2 linked regions of the Arabidopsis thaliana genome follow. The protein of the gene in region 2 interacts with the protein of the main gene of each other region in a pairwise test. Each region holds a gene or a part of one and is shown on either strand. Other genes may lie near its edges.

What was found.
Region 1: the proteins of CIPK19 (region 2) and AT3G17620 interact in a protein complementation assay, tested with the Arabidopsis thaliana proteins (one large-scale study listed by BioGRID).

Annotation. Positions count from the first base shown.
Region 1 is NC_003074.8:6,022,324-6,032,264, reverse strand, and holds AT3G17620 (F-box and associated interaction domains-containing protein), read left to right. Parts: upstream 1-4,570; coding exon 4,571-5,767; 3' UTR 5,768-5,819; downstream 5,820-9,941. Other genes in the region: CHX19 (cation/H+ exchanger 19), read right to left, coding at 492-1,694, 1,775-2,776, 2,867-3,064; AT3G17626 (structural constituent of ribosome), read right to left, coding at 3,771-3,890, 4,045-4,086; RBL14 (RHOMBOID-like protein 14), read right to left, coding at 6,092-6,880, 7,104-7,319; HYH (HY5-homolog), read right to left, coding at 7,680-7,878, 7,971-8,157, 8,231-8,294.
Region 2 is NC_003076.8:18,578,795-18,589,476, reverse strand, and holds CIPK19 (CBL-interacting protein kinase 19), read right to left. Parts: upstream 4,802-10,682; 5' UTR 4,536-4,801; coding exon 3,084-4,535; 3' UTR 2,887-3,083; downstream 1-2,886. Other genes in the region: CIPK20 (CBL-interacting protein kinase 20), read left to right, coding at 1,077-2,396; MEE62 (Leucine-rich repeat protein kinase family protein), read left to right, coding at 10,505-10,682. UniProt on the Arabidopsis thaliana protein: CIPK serine-threonine protein kinases interact with CBL proteins. Binding of a CBL protein to the regulatory NAF domain of CIPK protein lead to the activation of the kinase in a calcium-dependent manner.

The sequences.
Region 1 (9,941 bases), on a different chromosome or scaffold from region 2:
GTGATAGACAGTGAGTGAATGTTAACGTTATGGATTCTTGTTCGAAAATGTGTTAGTTTATTTATTAGTGACGTCTCTTTTGACTCTTGTCGGTGTCATTGGCGGTTGTGGTCCCTTTTTGCATTCATATCTCTTCAGGAGGTAATTTAAGATTAGACATTTTTCCGTTTGTTACATTTTTTCTGAATAACAATGAACACATTACACCCTAAAAAGGTATGTAGGTGACACCATCATGGGCAAGGATACATTCCATGGTGATGACTAGAAATGTTGGATCTTAAAAATATTATTCCTTTGATCATTCAAGGCAAAATATTAAGAAATTACAGGTCGATTTTCATGCCCACAAATCTAATGTCAACCATCAATTTAAGGAAAATAGAAAAAGAACAATGGAGACACTCCAAGTCCCAACCAAAAAGAATATCAAAATATTTCATGAGACAAAAAAAAAAACAGAGAAATTTTGTTTTTATAATAAAATCCGTTCAGGCAGTTAAGTCTGAAATATCTCTGGAAGACTGATCGTACTCTGCATCTTCCTCAACGAGCGGTCGTGTATCTGCTGCTGGATCATATCCCTGAACGACGAGCACCGACGCGGTGGTGGAAAACTCTGATGACGACAACAAGCGTCCAACTGGTCCTAACTCTGGACAGTCTGTACTCTTAACCAACGATGCAACAGCTGCATTTCTTCCAACGACGAAGAGATTGCATTTACTCATCGATTTAAGTGTCGCGATGATATCGTCTTTGCTCTCAACGACTCTTTCCTCGTAAGCCAATGACTCATTTCCTCTTGGATCATTCATCAACTCCCTCACAAACTCTTCGTCAGTCTCTTTCTCTTTTTTCTCCTTTTCGTCGTGTTCACTCTTCTCGAATCTCTTCAATGTTCCTCTCGCAGCTACAAATTTGTAAACAGTTAGTGTGATTCCTGGATGTTCCACCATTTTCATCCCGTATGCGAGAGCTTCTCGGTCGTCGAGGCCTCCAAAGAATGGAATCACGACTTTGTAAGCCACTTCGCTGGCTACAACCTGTGAGGTTCCTCCGAGTCCTCTGTCCACAAGAATCCCGACTGAGCAAGGAGCTCGTTGCAAGACCCGTTGGTTCACTTCATGGAACCTATGTCCTATTGACTCCATCGCTCCGTCCATTCTCTGATGCTTGTGAAACGGAAGCAGTATCATCGCTACTCGTTTCTGATGCGCGCTTGTGCATATGTCCTCGTGGATGCTGCTGAGGCCAGAGATTGCAGTCATGGGTCTAACCGCTACTGCTCGTAGATGCTGGTAAGCCTCGAAGGCAATCACCATCTGGTCCGTTGATCTCTCGATCTTATTCCAGATTGGGAGACCATTGTTTCGAGCTTTGTGAACCATCGCGATCGCTGATGACCGTTCAGAAAGCTCCATCAGATGCATCGCGTAAACGCAGAGGCGTCCCTTTTTGCCTGTTCCTCTTGATGATTCGATCAGATTGATCAATGTGGGGATGTTACGGGTACTGTGGAAGCAAGCAAGTATCCTTAGCTCAGAATCATGATCTTTTCTTTGGATGGTTCTGTGCTTGTACGGTGCTCCTTTTCTTGCAGGCTTGTAAATAAGCATCACAATTGGAGTTGTGATGAAGGTTGTGAACAATGCCATTAGGACTAAGATCGCAAATGCTTGATCATTCAGCACCTGCTCACAAAAATCGTTATTTAGATAACTCGGCTTTTAAATGTTTTATAAGTCTTATTATGGCTTTCAAGAATCTATACCTTCCGGTCCTTGCCAATGTTAAGAACAATGAGCTCTACTAAACCTTTGGTATTCATAAGGAATCCAAGTGTCACGGCTTCTCTGAAAGGAACCTTGCAGAGCATCGAGGAACCAACTGTTCCTACAATCTTCCCGAAACAAGTGGTGAGAATGACAAGAACTAGAAGTCCCCATGACTGTGCTCCCCTGATCGTTGTTACATCAGTTTTGAGACCGCTAGCCGCAAAATACAGAGGTAGAAGAAGCCCCGAAACAAGATCCTCTATCTTCTCAGTCAAAATCCTGCAAAATGGTCCTTCTTTAGGAGCTACTATACCTACCACAAACGCCCCGAACAGCGCGTGTATCCCAATAGTGTCTGTCACAAAGCTTGCTGCTAAAACCACGGTTAGAGTGACACAAACATAGAGTTCCTTTACAGGCTCTCCCTCAGGACAGCGTCTAGCCATATAAGCAAGCAGAGGTTTGATTGCCACAACTGCAAAGATCACGAATCCAGTTCCACAGAGAAGAACCCAAACAGATACAAGAGGAGAAGTCCCATCTCCTGAGAGAGCAATAGCAAGCGCAAGGAGTATCCAAGCTGCAACATCGTTTACTCCCGCTGCAGACATTGCCATACGTCCAATGTCAGTTGTTAGAAGCTTTAGCTCAGCTAGTATACGAGCAAGCACAGGGAAGGCAGTGATTGATAAGGCAACACCCATGAAGACAATAAAAGGAAGCTGATCGACTCCTTTGCTTATGGTGGCACTGAGAACAAAAGATGTGCCTACACCCACTATAAAAGGAAGTGAGATCCCAGCTATGGCTATCAATAGTGATTTCTTTCCAGTTTTTTTTATTGCTGCAAAGTCAAGCTCAAGCCCAACTAGGAACAAGAAAAACAGAAGACCAATGTTGGCGAGTGTGTCTAAAACGGTCAAGCTCTTCTTTGGGAAGATGGTGTCAAGATAGGCCTTGCTTCTCCCTAGTGCAGAAGGTCCAAGCAGTATCCCTCCCTACAGAACCATCCCTTTTAGTCTCTTTTGCTATGTGATTTCATCAAAACAGAAAAAGAAAAATACAAAGAGATTGAGTAGGAAACTCACAATGATCTCAGCAATGACTCGGGGCTGTTTGAGAGGCTTAAGAAAGTAAGCTAAGAGCCTTGTAAACACAACCACCAAGACGATTTGTAGGATGATAAGAGGAAGCGCGAAATCAAGAGGGCTTTCGTTTTGGAAGGCTCCATTGGAGGTAGCCTTCATTGGACCCGGGCATTGCCCTGTAACGTTGGTGCTTGCCATCCTAGTGGAGATCTACTTACAGGTTGATGATTGGTCAAGAAACGAGATACTGCTTCACCCTTCAATACTGCCTTGGCTGCTCCCTCATTGCATTGCCAAACGAAGTATGAGACCTGAATGGGAGGAAAAAAAAGAAATCAAGATTTTATTCTGTTCTGTTACTGTTTTTATTAAACAGAATCTACATTAAAGAAGTGAGTATATAAAAGGAAAAAACAGAAAACTAATAACGTCTATAGTTTGCTAATAATAGGTAGATGAGATAGAAGCGGACATACCAACTCCAGGGTGGGCATATACCTCGCACTTTTCTATTTATAGACTATCAGTTACTTAACTTCCAACCATATCGCATCTATACTTCGCAGATATGAACTGCCTTCACTGCGCCGAAGTTTTCGTCTCTGTCTTTGTCCTTCTGTCCTAAATTTGCAAGCACTTGTACCTGTCTCTTAACTAAGCAGCACATTTGATGTCTTACCTTCTGAAGCTTTGTAAACATCAACCATTTTCAAATATATTATCATCGTATAGACGATATAAACATTCTTGAGATGCATAAGTAGTAAGAACAAATGAACACATTAAAAAGGAAGAAGTTAACACTGTTCCAAGCCGACTAATCTAAATTTCAATCATGGGTTCTATACAAGCAAATTTCTGAGAAGGACAAAACAAAAAAAGACTTAAAATTGGAGACCGTGTTCTATTTGCTGAAGCAGCTAAAGCCATGGTAAGTGTAAATTGCACGGTCAAAGGCCACCTTTGTGATCCCATTCTCTACGCAGGATTTTTCTATAACTTCTCCAACTTTCTTAGCCATTTCCTAATCAATTCCAAGAAGAATCAAAGTTAGACAGTGTCCAAGAGAAAAACAATTGAAGCTAAGGGTCTCATGCTAAAACTTGAAAGGTTTCGGCTAGAGAATTTTGTAGATAGATTGTAGTTGAATTCAAAGCAGGTGGTAGTGAAGAACTCACAATGGTAGAACCAGTGAGCAAAAGATACAGAGCCTTGGCCATGGTCTGAGAATTGAAGGAGCTTTAAGCCACCGTACTGAATTGGAATCGGCGTCGAGGCTGTTCTCAGCGAGCTCAGACGCTGGATTACATCACCCTCTATATTTTGTAGGTTTCGAATCTTCGGTGGCTCTCTCGGTTCAATCGCCGCAGTCGGAGAGGAGAGTCTTCCTCCTCCATCTCCACCGCAAGAAGCGACCGTCGATCATCTCCCCCGCCATATACAAATGAGAATCACTAAAAAGTTTTTAACTACAGTTGGGCTAAAAGCCCAATAATAAAGCCCATAAATGAAACGACATCACAGTCATATAAATAAGAGTTCAAAAAGATGAATAATTCCGGGAAATTTTTAGAGGGCAGAGTTGTGTTTCGGCCCAGCTTGAGTTAGGGTTCCTGTGGGGAAACATGAGAGCTTTTTACTGAAGTTTCAAACCTAACTAATTTGTGTTACATCGATCCTTGTTCAAATTTGAAAGATTTGAAGATGATGTCCGATCTTCCAAGAGATTTGTTGGAGGAGAGACTCTCTAGGGTTCCGGTGAAATCATTGAGAGAAGCGCGATTTACCTGCAAAAATTGGAAAACATTATCCAAAAAGCGGAGCTTTACAAAGAAGCACCTTGCTCAGGAAGCAACATCAAGGGAAAGTGAGTTTAAGGTTGTCATGGTCTTGCATTGTAAGGTTTATCTAACGAGCATCAACCTCCGTGGAATTCACAACGGCTTTGACCCGTCTATAAACCGTCAAGCTAAACTTGTTAGCCTAAACGGTACAGATCAGATCGATATATCTGAAGTATATCACTGCGACGGTTTACTGTTATGTATCTCGAAAGACTACACTAGGGTCGTGGTTTGGAATCCGTATAGGAGCCAAACTTTGTGGCTCAAACCCAGTAGTCCTGACCATAGAATGGACTGGTATATCTGTGCTATAGGATACGAGAAGCGTAAATCAAGCCTACGCTACAAAGTTTTGCGATTCGTTGATTTTGCCGAAGAAGAATTTGTTGAGTACGAAATATACGAGTTAAAGTCTAATTCATGGAGGGTTCTCGATGTCACTTCCGACTGGGAAGTAGAGTTTTATGCACGAGGTGTCTCTCTCAAGGGAAATACTTATTGGTTTGCTACAGACAAGTTTCCAGAAATCAGCAGTAATCTTATACATAGTGTTTATTTCTTGCTCTGTTTTAATTTTACATCGGAGAGATTTGGGCCGCGTCTTCATTTGCCGTGTTACCCTATGGATGTAGATACTGTGAGTCTTTCTAGTGTTAGAGAAGAGCAACTTGCTGTGTTATTTCAGCGTAAGGACAACTTACATATGGAGATTTGGGTTACGACTAAGATTGAACCTGAAGAGGTGATGTGGAGCAAGTTGTTCTTAGCAGTGGATATGCAACCACTCACTGATTTTAAGTTTGGAATTGCAGATGCGAGTTTCATCATTGACGAAGAGAAGAAAGTTGTTGTAGTCTTTGCTAAAGACAAAGATGTAATGTATCCCACTCACAACACAGCTTACATCATTGGAGAGGATGGATATTACAAAGAAGTGGATCTCGGAAAAACTACTGATAAAATTCGAGATCCACTTGTGTGCTCGTATGTTCCAAGCTCAGCGCAAATCAAGCAAGGAGGCAAAAGGAAGAAAAAAGGGAAATTGATTACTGATTAACATTTATATCTTGCTTTGTGATCTTCTTCTTTCAACAAAATTTGGTTTGAAATAGGATAAAATTTTGTTAAAATCGAAAGTCTGTGAAACTGTAAGTTTGGTGTGAAGATACTATATTATCTGAATCACTCGCTACTTTCAGCAATCTAATCAAAGGACCAGTTCACGTAGAACCAAATCTTCAACAACAAAAGAGAAGACAAATTGAAGAAACAGATCGAAAAACACGACCACTAACTCTGCTATTCATAAGCTAATGCAATGAATGATTCAACAAAGCTTCATTCACAATCCTTCCTCAGCTTTAAGAATGCGCTCCCGAGATCAACTAAACCTCTCTACTCTTCGACGGCGCAGCTCATCTAAAGGGAGATCATTAGAAGAAGAAAGTGCTGGTCCCTGATTCAGTGACCATCCATTTCCTCTAGCCCGTCCCGAGCCACACATCTCGCAAGCACTTAACCAACCAGAATTGTCATATGTACACGACTGACATCTCCAAATACCAGGTCCTGCTATCCCAGTCTGACCTCTTCCCACTCTTCCTCTCCCCGTAATCCTCCTTCTCCGAGACCTAACCATACCATTCAGAAACCTCAAGGGCCACGTCACCAATCGAGATACACCTCTAACCGCCATAGTGACTGGATCTGAGCCTGAGTAAGAACCTTTCAGCTTCAAATAGATAATACCAGCAAGGATTCCACCCAAATGCCCAAGAAACGAAGCGTTAGGTACAAACATCTGCACTAGAATCAATTCTGCCCAAGCAGCATACTTTGTTGGAACCAAGATACCATACACACTTGAGTAATCCTCAGCTTGAGAATTAAGAACAACTTTCATAGCAAAGAGAACACCCGAGAACCCAACCGCATACTCGTTGTAGTAAGCTCTGTCATAGTCAAACAAGAGAAGAAGCGATTTGGCTAACAACAATGTGACTCCTTGAGACATACCAATAAGAGTAAAGACCATTGAAGCAAACTCACTGCTTCCCATTGATGTCTCAAGCTTGATACCTTTCCAGAGAAGTGACATCATGTTATAGACTAAGTGAGGCTCGTTAACATGGTAGAACGCTGATAGAAATAAACGCTTCAAGTCCTTATGCTGTTCAACAAATACACATCAAGATTAAAAAAAAAAACTTTAACAGAGAATAGAATTAATCAATCAAGAATGATCTAATTAGATATCGAAGAACAAAATCCCTAATTCTCCAGATATTGGTACAAATTTCCCAGGAAACTCAAATTCGAATTTCAGATCGAAATCGGTCAAATTGCAATCAATTTCTCTTGGCGAATGAAGGAATTTATTAAGATTGGTTTACCTTGAAGATGAGGTGAGGATTGAACCAGACCTCACTGATGTGAGGAATAACGGGATCGATAAACGCCGGCCTGAGATAAACGAGAGTGTTCGCGGCCAGGAGACTCGCCGTCACCGGTGGTTTCCACGGTAGTCTATAGTACTCCGCGACGGCGCTTAGAGCCAGCAACGGCAACATTCCGCCTCCACTTCTTCTCCCTTCACCAAAATTCTCCATTTCTTCGTAATTATTCTTTTCTTCTGATCTCTCTGAATCACTTACAAGTAATTAAAATCTCATCTCTTTCACAATATTTATATAGCAGCAGCTTGGTCTCTACGAAAACAAATTCTCCAGAGACTTCTTCGTTTCACTCGCATAAGAACATGTGGGACCCACCACGGCATTTTAGAACTCTAGTTTTTATACCTAATCTCTTCTTGCCTTTTTTCGTTTTTTTTTACTTTATTTTGCAAATCTGAATGACAATGATGCTCAAAGTGAATGTTATTCGAACAAAAAGTGTATACAAACCAAAACCAAAAAAGAAAGAAAGATAATCATACAACACTGAACAATGGATTAAAGGGTAAATATTTAGTGATTGTCATCAGTTTTAGGCCTTGTGTTAATAAGCATTTTACGAAGCATTGTGTTCTCGTTCGTCAAAGTAGAAATCTTCTCTTCGAGCTGGTCATTGTTGTTCTGTAACTCATTAGCTCTTGATTCCAAATCACTCACATACACTTTCTTCCTCTCTCTTGCTTGTTGCGCTGATACTCTGTTCCTCAATAATCTGTAATTTTTCACCACAGTTTCTTTTTTACCATTTCAATTCCACAAATCGAATGCTAAGAAAAAAAAGTTTTTTTACTCATCATTGATTACCTCTTGAGGCTTCTATATTCTTTATCAACAGGGTTTCTTCCACGGCGGCGTTTAGCTGTAGAGACTCCATTTTGAGTCTGGTCAAGCTCCGGATTGTTGACTCCATCGTCGGCGCTGCTGCTTAGAACACATGTTGATCCAGCTGCTTCCATGTCAGGAACCATCAACAACTCCTCATCACTTTCCTCTGAGAATTATACAAACCAATTTCTCTAAACCAAATTAAGTTAAATATTAGATAAGTTTCTTTCAACACCTACCAGTTTTGTGCTTCTTGTGGGAAGAAGACGAACTCGAGTTCCCATTGGGTCGTTGGAGAGACATCAATATCTTTTTGTCTTTTGAGATTTTGCTAAAGACGAGAATAGAGAGGTAAGAGGTTGAAGAGAATATCAAACCAAAGGAAATTGCATCTTTTCTTTCTTCTTTGGGGCCACTCAAAGTCTGCAACTCGTTTCAAACAAAAAAAAAGAGAAAAGTATTGGTTGGCTTATAAAAGAACACGTAGGTTTATGTAAGACCACAAATGCAACTGTTTCAATCCAATGGTGTGTATCTGTGTTTTCTTTTCCACTATATCCCGTTGAACTTATTAATTGATTTATTGTTCTGTTTTGCTTTTAAAGTCTTTGTTCATGATTTCTACGGAAAACAACCTTTAGTGAGTATTCACAGAGCGTGTGGGTTTAGGACAATAATTACTGTCTAGAACCATACAAACGTACTTGCAGACAAAGTCAGAGGCACAACTATGTGTGTGTGTATCTATTTGCATGGCGTAATAGGCATGCATAAACTCATCATGTGGTCATATATCTCGTTTTCTATTTTTTGGTACACAAATAACTCTTTTGTATAAAGACAGCTAACTAATGTTTTGAATTTTTAAATGTTATCTCTTAAAATTAAATTCTACCAATTGTAAATTCAGTCAATCATTCCGAAGCATTTTTTCATGCTTTGTGATTCCGCCATATATTTTCCCATGTTCTTTTTTACGTTTTTCATCATAATTTTAAAGTTTTACGATTTTTTGTTGTTATCAATGAAAATGGACCAAGTAAACTTCTACCGTAATGGTTGCATATTAGATAGTGGACTTATGCGCGCGCGCGGAAACAAAACTTGGCCGGTTGAATCGTCGTCTGCCTGGCATCTAACAGTTTTTTCGAACATTGTCATAATCAATATATTGAGGGATGTTAATCATGAAGTCGTATGGAATGGACGCGGGAAATCACTCATAAACAATGTGAACATTTTATAAGGTTATAAAGAAGAACAAGTTTCATCCTTCTTTTGTATATTTCGACTCATACATATCTTTCTATTCAGGAATAAGTATAAAACATAATATAACATGTGGCATATCGACCGACCAATACATCTTTCCCAACCCATGATCAACCTTCTGATTGTGTTTTAATTTATTCGTCATGAAATGGATCAGAATACTCATGATGAGTTTGTGTATCACTCAAGGGACCCCTTGTCTTAAAATCAACTAAAATCATTTGATGTAACTTTTATACGAAGTACTATCCAAATAATTAATTTTCATAAGCAGCGGACATTCATTTTGTTTGTATGACTATATGATTTTATTATTTGAAGCTGTATGCAAACGTGGAGATATGATTGCATCTTTGTCTATGCATGAACATGCCACGTTAATTTAGGAGTACATATCATGATATTGATCTCTCTTGCTATAACTTTTTGGCACAATACTATTGCATGCCTCTCTATATTACTTCAACAAAACGTTTAAATTTACCATGGTTAGAACTTAGAAGTAATCGAGCTGCAAACCATGGTGATCATATTTTTTCTCGTTCGCATGCTCGGTCTTAATATATTGAGAGTTATGGCCAAAATTTGAATACCATTTTAAGAAACTTCAGAAAATCAGGAGTTTGATTATTATCTTTGGTTCTTACTTACTTCAACGAAAACTAATGACAAAACTCT
Region 2 (10,682 bases):
ACGCATCCTTTTTTTTTATGGACTTGGCAGATTTGGTAAAAATAAGAGTTCTAGTTTCGAAAATTCAACTGTATCTATATTAACTTAATTTATATCAAACTTAACTCATTAAACCTAACCAAGCTCTATACTTGAGATAAGATTCCACAACATTTCAAGTATTCATAGTGGTGAAATGTACTATAGGGTTAAAGTTTGGATCGCGATTAGTAAGCTCTTTAACTTTAAAATAACATTAAACCTAAGTAACCACTTCATGGTGGAATAATGTTTACATGATTCATTCTATAAATTGATTTGAGTCTCTTCAATGCGATTTGATAACTTAAAATATCTTAATCGCCAAGAATACTAGTTTTTCTACAGATAGCAAGAGATCAAATCTAATCATTCAAATGAAAATAACACTCTAAAACCTACAAAAACACTTCTTATAACTGTAAAAATATATTGCAATCTACCTAGATGACACAATTCTAGATGCCCCCATGAACATGATCAACTTTTCTATGTTTCATATTTATTTATTCCTCAGTGATTGCCTCCCTGGGTTTGTAGTGGGTCGGGCCGAGTAAAAATTGGCCGATGTTAACAATCATATCCATATCTGTATTTGCAACTCCAAGATTTATCCTCCACTTATTTTCGTATCATGACATTTTATGCGACAACTCTTATTTTGAATCATGATTCTTAAGATTTACAGACAGGACCGGCATTGAAGTCCACATATATTTGTAATTACAAAATCTATTATATACACACACAAAAATCTGGGATATTCTAATATTTAACAACAACTAGCCTCCACTATATTTAGAAGAGCCCACTCGAAGCATCACCACGACCACACAAATCTAAGATCTTTTCCTCTTGTATTTGTTTTTAGCATTACTATTTTGATATATGCAAGGTTTAGACCCCAAAAAAAAAGAAGAAAAAATATAATTGATATTTTCAAAATTTGAGCTCCATCTCTTCTAAGCCATGGGAAACACATTCCAAGACGAAGTTAATCAATAGTTCATCCTCTGCTTTTTCATCAAGTTCCTTTGTTCCCTCAAAAGCGTCAATAAATGGATAAAAACGGCATAGTTTTGATGCGAAAATATGAATTAGGTCGTCTTCTAGGTCAAGGCACATTCGCAAAAGTGTACCACGCACGCAACATAAAAACAGGAGAAAGCGTAGCGATCAAGGTGATCGACAAACAGAAAGTTGCGAAAGTCGGATTAATCGATCAAATCAAACGAGAAATATCAGTGATGCGTCTCGTTCGTCACCCCCACGTCGTCTTCCTCCATGAAGTAATGGCGAGCAAGACAAAGATCTATTTCGCTATGGAATACGTTAAAGGCGGTGAGCTTTTTGATAAAGTCTCTAAAGGAAAGCTTAAAGAAAACATTGCTCGAAAATATTTCCAGCAATTGATCGGAGCAATCGATTATTGCCATAGCCGCGGAGTTTACCACCGCGATCTCAAACCGGAGAATCTTCTTCTAGACGAAAACGGCGATTTGAAAATATCGGATTTTGGCCTTAGCGCGTTGAGGGAGTCGAAGCAGCAAGATGGCTTGCTTCACACGACATGTGGAACACCTGCTTACGTGGCACCTGAAGTGATAGGCAAGAAAGGTTATGATGGAGCTAAAGCCGATGTTTGGTCTTGCGGGGTTGTGTTGTACGTGCTATTGGCTGGATTTCTTCCGTTTCACGAGCAAAATCTTGTGGAAATGTATCGGAAAATCACGAAAGGCGAATTCAAATGTCCGAATTGGTTTCCTCCCGAGGTCAAGAAGTTGTTGTCTCGGATTCTTGACCCTAACCCTAATTCAAGAATCAAGATTGAAAAAATCATGGAGAATTCCTGGTTTCAAAAGGGTTTCAAGAAGATCGAAACGCCTAAATCTCCCGAAAGTCATCAGATCGACTCACTGATCAGCGATGTCCACGCAGCTTTTTCCGTAAAACCGATGTCTTACAACGCGTTTGACTTGATCTCTTCGCTGTCTCAAGGATTCGATCTCTCGGGTTTGTTTGAGAAAGAAGAGAGATCAGAATCGAAGTTTACAACGAAGAAAGATGCAAAAGAGATAGTGTCGAAATTCGAGGAGATAGCAACAAGTAGTGAGAGATTCAATTTGACGAAGAGCGATGTAGGAGTGAAGATGGAAGATAAGAGAGAAGGAAGAAAAGGACATCTTGCGATTGATGTTGAGATATTTGAAGTGACAAATAGTTTTCATATGGTTGAGTTTAAGAAAAGTGGAGGTGATACAATGGAGTATAAGCAATTTTGTGATCGTGAGCTTAGGCCTTCTTTGAAAGATATTGTTTGGAAATGGCAAGGAAACAACAACAATAGCAACAATGAGAAGATTGAAGTGATACATTAAATGTGTTTTTCATCTTATATTTTTCTGGATTTGGTTGTTTTTCTTTAGATCTCCGTGTAAAAGATGAGATTTATGATAATGGCTGCAATCATCATCACATATCTTAGATTGTTGTTGATTTATTTATTTAATTAATTGGGGTCAATAGTTACACAAAGATTTGAAGTAAAGAAAAGTGACAGAAATAAATGGATTAATAAATTGTTTATGGTTAAAGGTGCATGACTAGAATATAACATATTTAAAAGAACAACACAAATTTGGATTAGCTAATGGTGTGGCTTGGATTATAATGCTAAACTTTCTTCTCAAGATTTTGTTTTTGTAAACTCTACATGTTCAATTATATATCATAAACCGTCATATTAATTGACGTTAGTAGACAAAATTTCCAACAGAAATTACACAATCTTGTTCTAAGTGAATTTCTGTCATATTTCAAACTAACAGAATTAAAATTCAAAAGAAGGAAAAAGAAAGAAAAAAAAGAAGCAAACTCATAAAGAAACTTGTTTATTCCATCTGTGTTTTCTACACATCAATGATTCATATCTCACCACTCTCTTTAGGTCTAAATTCTAATGTCTCTCACACACCATCAAAGAACAAGAACATTACAAGTCGTTAACCCCACATATGAGTCACAAAACTAATAAAACAGAAACAAAAACTTCATTTTTCATCTTCCTAATCAGTATCAGAAAGTAAAAACGATGGCAAAGAACGCGAACCAGAAACCCGTTGGCCATTTTCGGAAGACAAATTCTGCAACTTAGGTTTCAACTCCTTATTACAAAACTCATCATACTCCATTTTATCACCTCCTTTCTTCTTCACTTCAACAACAACCAAAGCTGGTGTCAGTTCAAATATCTCAGCAGCAATTGACAATGGACCTTTCATACTTCCTTCTCTTGAACCTTCAAGACTCACTTTACAATCCTTCTTTCGCACAGTAAAACTCACAATCCTCGCGATTTCCTCCAACTTAGAAATGATCTGACCAACAGGAGCACCAGACACAAACCTAGATCCTTCACCATCATCCTCAAACAAACCCGAAAGATCAAAACCTGGCGAAAACGAAATGAGATCGAAAGCATTCAAACTTGCCGGTCTAGGCATCGAACCACCTCTTCTCCTCCCATCAAAAGACTCGAAGTCTTCCGGTTCAGAAACCGTAGAAGACCTCCCCGAAACCGATTCAATCGATTCGATCTCATCATCATCAGCAACGTTACAAAGCTGATGATCATCTTCAACATAAAACTTAATATGCTTAAAACCTTTCTTGAACCAACTAGTCTCCATAATATCCGGCATTGTAAACCGTCTCTCCGGTTTAGTCTCCAACATTCGAATCAATAACCGGTTAATCTCAACCGGAAACCATCTCGGACACCTAAAATCTCCTCTGTAAATCTTCTTATACATAGCCATAACATTCCGATCATGAAAAGGAAGAAACCCTGCCATTAACACAAACAAGATCACTCCACAAGACCAAATATCGACTTTAGCTCCATCGTAGCCTTTCCGAGCAAGAACCTCCGGTGCCACGTAAGCAGGGGTCCCACAAAAAGTATGAAATAACCCATCTTGTCGAATCTGATCAGAAACAGCACTAAGACCAAAATCAGAGACTTTTAGGTTTCCATTTTCGTCTAAAAGAAGATTCTCCGGTTTCAAATCTCGATGATAAACACCACGGAAGTGACAAAACGATACGGCTGAGATCAACTGTTGAAAATATTTACGTGCCATTTCTTCTTTTAACCTTCCTTTAGCTACCTTGTTGAACAATTCACCTCCTTTAACATATTCCATTACGAAATAGATCTTAGATTTCGTCGCCATGACTTCGAATAGCTGAACGATGTTAGGATGACGAACACGGCGCAAGATCGAGATCTCGCGTTTGATGTGTGCGATTAAACCGGATTTGAGAACTTTCTCTTTGTCAATTACCTTGATCGCTACGCTTTCTCCAGATTGAGCGTTTCGTGCGAGATAGACTTTAGCGAAGGTTCCGTGGCCAAGAAGCCTACCCATTTCGTATTTGCCAAGGATCAGAGCTTGATGATTGCTCTGATCCTGCTTCTTCTTTATCGATTTCACTTTTCTTAACAAATCCGCCATTGAAAGCGAGAGATTCTCATGAAATGGTGAAGAAAAGTTTGGATTTTGAGATCAAGATCTTCTTGATCGAAGATCGAATTCGCAAAAAAAAAAAAAACACGTTTTTTTGTTTGATTATTGAGAGGTTGTAGAAGAAGACGATCTCTCTCTCTCTCTCTCTCTTTCTCTGTTTTTCTCGTCTTCCTCTGTTCTGTTTTTAGGGCTTTTTCCAGAAATAGGATTTTTCTTGTGGTATATTTGGAAATGTTTCAGAATTGGTATACAAATAAATCTCACTTTTTGTATACCACCAACACATATATATAGCCTATTGGTCAACTGTTTTTTTTTTTTTTGCTTTAAATGCTTAAAAAACTAATACTATGTTAGAAAAATTGATTGTTTCTAATACAAACAATAAAAAATAATTTGAAACCGAAGGAGAATTTTTTTATTTAGATAGAAAAGATCAATGAATTATTTTTCATTTCCATAGATATAGAAACAATGGAAATGGAATATAAGTAAAAAAAAAAAAAAAAAAAAAGTTTAAACCAAAGTGTTTTGAGTCTTGGACTCGTAATCACTGAGATCAAGAACTAATCATTTCCAAGCATCAAGATTCGAATCTAAGACCTAGAAACGCAGTCTCTTTGAAAGGTCCCTAAAACACCAAAAGAATTTTATGAAAGAGTAAGAAACGAAAATGATCACATCTTGGCATTATAGAATATTCAATTACAATCGTAAATGTCATTATCATCGTAATGTCAACATTGATCCTTCGATAATATACTACATATTAAGAAAGTATAGAGCTTTAAAAGTTTACACCACATAACTGATATATTAGTAGATTAGTAGACACGTACTTAATTCTAGCACATGACTAATTCCAAAATTGAAGTATCACCTAATTAGAAAACTCAACAATATTGTATGTAATTTCTTCACATTTTGACGTTTTCGAAATATGATTACAAATCATTCACAATCTGTTTTGCATGAAATCATAAAATTAATAAAATAATATACATAAATTTTATTTTCATTCCTTTTTGGTGTTTATTTGTCTTGAGTTACTAACTTACTAGTCAGGTCAAATTACAGTTTTTCATTAATTGTTTTTTTAATTAGAAAACCAAATTGTAAGTCAAAGGTTTACATATAAGCAAAGTGACATAATGGTCGGTGAAGATTTAAGCAAAGTGACATAATGAAAAGTTTCCACTTGTCGTGAAATTGAAATGATTTGCTGTATTAGTGTATTTGATAGATTACCCAACCCAACTAACAAATCTTATTGATAATATTTTATTTTATTTTTGATAATATTTGAATATTGAGAGTGTTACGAAATACGAATATTCAAACTCTTAAGGTTTTTTAGACGTACATATTGATAATAACGTGCACGTATCAGGTCACACATGTAGTTGGTGAATTAACCTCTTTTGACAGGTGTGAAGTAGAGCAATTTACTCAATTCTTTCTTCTTTGTTGACAAAATTATCCATGTGAACTGTTTCTCCAAACAGATTGTTAAAATTTGTCACCAAAAATAGGTCATGTAAACAGAGAGATTTAGTCAATTGGGCTGGATTGTATTTTCTCTTTTTAGACTGGGCTTGCCAAAAAAAGAGAGATTTAGGTCCATACCTAATCATGGACCAGCAAAATGGACTGGAATTTAACTCTATAATTGGCCTGAAAGTCCAAAATGAATGAATTTCGGCCTAAAAATTGTTTTTATCTATAACAATTTATCTATTGCAAAATTGAGATTTTTGCTCTATTAAAACTTAAAATGTACATCTTTACCTTAATCAGATGACTCCGGATTCAAAACTTGATTGATTTTACAAGTTGATACAACATATCAAATTATAGTTGCGCCATTGTAAAACATAACTTATATAGTCCGGTCAGTTCAGTCAATGGTTTAATTATAAATAAAGAAGTATTATTTTGTTAGCCAAAATAAAAAAATAAAATACTGACAATCTAGTTCCTCCTTAAAAACCGTCTTTCTAATTTTCTTAAAAGAAAACAGTTTGCAATTTCTTAACGTGATTGTTTATATTGAGGATAATAATCAAGTGTTGGAAGATTAATGAGAATGATTCAGTTTGAGTCGCTCTCATCGATCTCCCAACATCAAGTTAGGTAGTACGGAAATTGCATAAATTTCTTTTACGTTGCCCACAATTCACATACATATACAATTAGTTTAAATTTTGATTATCACATAGAGGCAACGCTGATACAAATGATCATCATGTCAAAGATCCAGCAGTAACATAAGAATAACCCAATAACATTAAAATAGAACAAAGAGATCGCACACACATATAAGCAAGCACATGGACCAACAATGTTGGTGTGAGTGGTTAAAATGATAAAATAAAGAATGTGGATTAACTTTTAGGTTGGGTTGCTCAAGGAGAATGTGAATGTGTTAGATACTTTGTGGAATATTAGTTGGCATTCTATGGATCTTTTTGTCTTGGGATTTAGTGGATTTGTTTGGAATTTCCCAAGATCATAATTTTCTTCATTTTAAATTAGTTGTTATGACAAGGTATTTTTAATATACAGTAAAACCATTTTGTTCTTCCATTTCCAAGCTTATTTAATACAACCCATTTGCAGCACATTACTTTCACAATAATTACGTGTTGTTAGACTTAAATATTTACACCATGATGTTCTAATTGTGAAAGTTTTTAGGAAATTCAATGCTTTACTAATGGAAAACAAAAATTGGATGGATCAGAAATAAAACCGTTTATATATAAGTGAATTGAATTTTGGAGAATTTAAATCCTGCCATCACGACAAGAAAAAATGGCCGAAGTATACGTACATCAATCATTTTGCGTTTTCACAAACACATTGTTGCAATATGTAAAAGATGAGAAAATGACTTGCTAGTTCTTATTTAATAACTTAACTTAATAGTGTTGGTCGAGTTCAATTTTTAGACATCATGAAATTTATATGTAATTAATACACAAATGTCTTGACGTAATCTAGACTTTTGTTGTAGGAGATCTAATACCAAAAGAACTTTTTTTGTTTGTCAACTAAACACCAATATCATAACAATGAAATATAAACAGGAATATGGGGGTTATTATATGTTTTTCTTAGACAACTACAAGCACAATCAACCGCATGCATTTGGATATATATTTTGACTAAAACTCTTAAAAGTTTAAGTAATTTAACTAAAGAATTATGTAACCACCAGTTTTCAATTTTGAGTGGTGAAATTGTTTTCCGGTGGTTATCAAGTCATCCAATCTACAAGTTTTATTAATTTTTTTGTATGGAAAACAATTTAAGTTTCTAAAGATGTAATAATTTTGAAAACCCGGTTTTTTGCATATTTTGGATATAAGATTTAAGTCTAAACTTCGAGTTTATGTATTAAAAACAATAAATAATGTCTTGATAAAATATGCTTCCACATAATCCGATCCAACCGATCTCCTTGGTGGATGTACCATATACTCCGGCGTATATTTAGACACTGGCTTATGTCCATTAATACATTAAACTATAGTCTTTCTCCGGCGGACATTTCTTTAATTCATTAAATTTGCAAATGTTTGAATCTTTCAAAATAGTAACACACTAACACCCCAAATAGAGTTTAATATTCATATCATTCAACGCAACTTTGAATTTTCGTGGTTTCTCATGGGAATGTTTTGGACATCTATATAACTACATACTTATCAATATAATCAAGCTTTACGCAGCTAATGTAATTAAAAAGTTAGTCCTAATGAAATAATGTAATAAAAAAGTTAATCCTATTGAAATAAGTTAAATGTAAATTTTGATATTCAATAACCGAAATGTTAGATCAAAACAGTAGACTCGAATAAATCTTTTTATTCAAAAAGTACACTGTTGTTTTGTTTGATTCAACTACACCATTATTTACTTTTCAACCAACCCCATCAACAAATAACCGATGGTAATAAATATAAGCATTTACTACAAGACATACGTAAATTTTTTAAAACACGTTTTATTTATAATTTAAGGATATGCAAAATTACACCTAGGATACAACATCGAATGAAAATAGATAATTTAATAAATTTTGTTAAAAGATAGGGTCCACGTTTCTATTTCGCATCATCTGCATCAAACTACCACACAAAGTCATCGCACCAACCATATACCTCTTTGCTTACTTCACTTGAGTTTCAAACCCATAAACAACAACAACAGAAAATATATACTGCCAATTAAAGTAGCATTTTCATCTCCATCGTAATGTTATAAATACACAAATTGTTGCATATATATGACAACGTTGATATTCATCTGTATTTTGATTTTTGCACTTTAATATCACATGCAATTATTTTCAGAAAAAAATATCACATGCAATCCTAAAATAGTGTCATATTAAGAATTTAGTTAATCCAATATAATGATTCTTTGTTGATAAATGTTTTTAGTTAATTTCTCTTATATACTGTTTCTTTACTTGTATTATGGTTTGAATGTGACTGAAGTTTTAAACACGTCTCTTGTATATAATGACAAGCTAGTAGTCTTACCTCAAACTGTAAATCAATTTCCACAGTTTACACCGATTTTTTTTTTTCATTTTCATACTAATGGACAATTATATAGTACTAGTAGTATAATGATTGATGCATGTCTTTCGTAATATTAGACTAAATTCAATATATTGCCTATCTGAGATTATCCTTTTTTGAAGTATACAGATTGTCCATGATTGAAAAAAAAGGAATTGCATGATTTATCTTTTGATTTATTGGATACCAATCATGTACTTATCATCATTATCTTTACGAGGTACTTTTTTCTTTGCCTCTCTTTTCTTTTGAAAAAGTGAAAAGTAAGAAATATAAATACTAAAGAAAAATAGTTTATCAATTATCCGAATCACTAAAATTAGTTGATTCACTAAGTTTAATCTTATATAATCTGAATATATATATATATATATATATATATTTCTTTGTTTTGATGCATATAGTGTCAATTTATCACAAAGTAAATTAATTCAATGAGTTCAAATAATTAAAATTGTTTATTTCCTATATAAACTTTAGTTATAACTTTCACTTTTACAAAAGAAAAATAAAAAGTACCGTATAAAGATAATGATGATAATAAAACATGATTACAGAATCCTATTTTCCTAAAGATAGATGATTCAGTGAAGTTCTTTTATATATTTCTACAGCTAATGTTCATGCATTAATTTTGATATTGGTGTTTACTGTTTACAATAGTGGAATTCGACGATATAGGTTATAAATGGATGTTGCGGTTACTGCGAACTAATTTATCAGCGGTTTAATCTACTTTATTTTTAAGATGGACAATAAACATAAACCGTTGTTGATTCAAATTATTTCAATATAAAAATATCTATGATTAGTCTATTTGTAATCATTTGAATCCGTAGAATAAATGAATAGTGGAAATCTTTTCACTTCAATAGTTGATCAAAAGTTTATTAATATTTATTGCTGTAAAAACAATCCCAATTAATATCTTTTAGTAAAGATGCAATTAAAAAAAAATTGATTGCTATTTTGAGTAATGCGATATAGACAAAAAATAAATTGTTAAATATATTTTAAAGGCATAAGTATATTTTGTATTTTTGAAATCTTACATAACTAATTTAAAGAAGAGAGAATTTGTCTTAGTAAAATATTATTTGCCATCACTTCACTAGATTTAATCGAGCTACAAGTTTACAACAATTTGACTTTTAGTTTTTGCATCATAATCCACGTCATCGTTGGCATATTATCAACCGTATGTAATGTATCTCCCCCTCTCTCTTCTCTCTTTTCTGATAAACCTCACCAGCTCCTCTCAAATTCTGCAACAACTAAACCCTCTCTCTCTCTCTCTCTATCTTTCTCTCTTCACCATTTCTTTATCTTCCATGGAAGAACAGTCTTCAACAACAAACTAAAAACATGTTTCTAAAGTTGTTTCTTCTCTTATCTTTGGTCTCCTTCTCACACTCAGACTCTTCTTCCACAGTTTCTTGTCCTAACGGCACAGACTTCCATCAACTAACCACAGTTTTTCGTTACGTCTCCGGTTTCAACTCTTCCTGGTTCTCCTCAAACTGCTCCGCCGTTATCACTCACG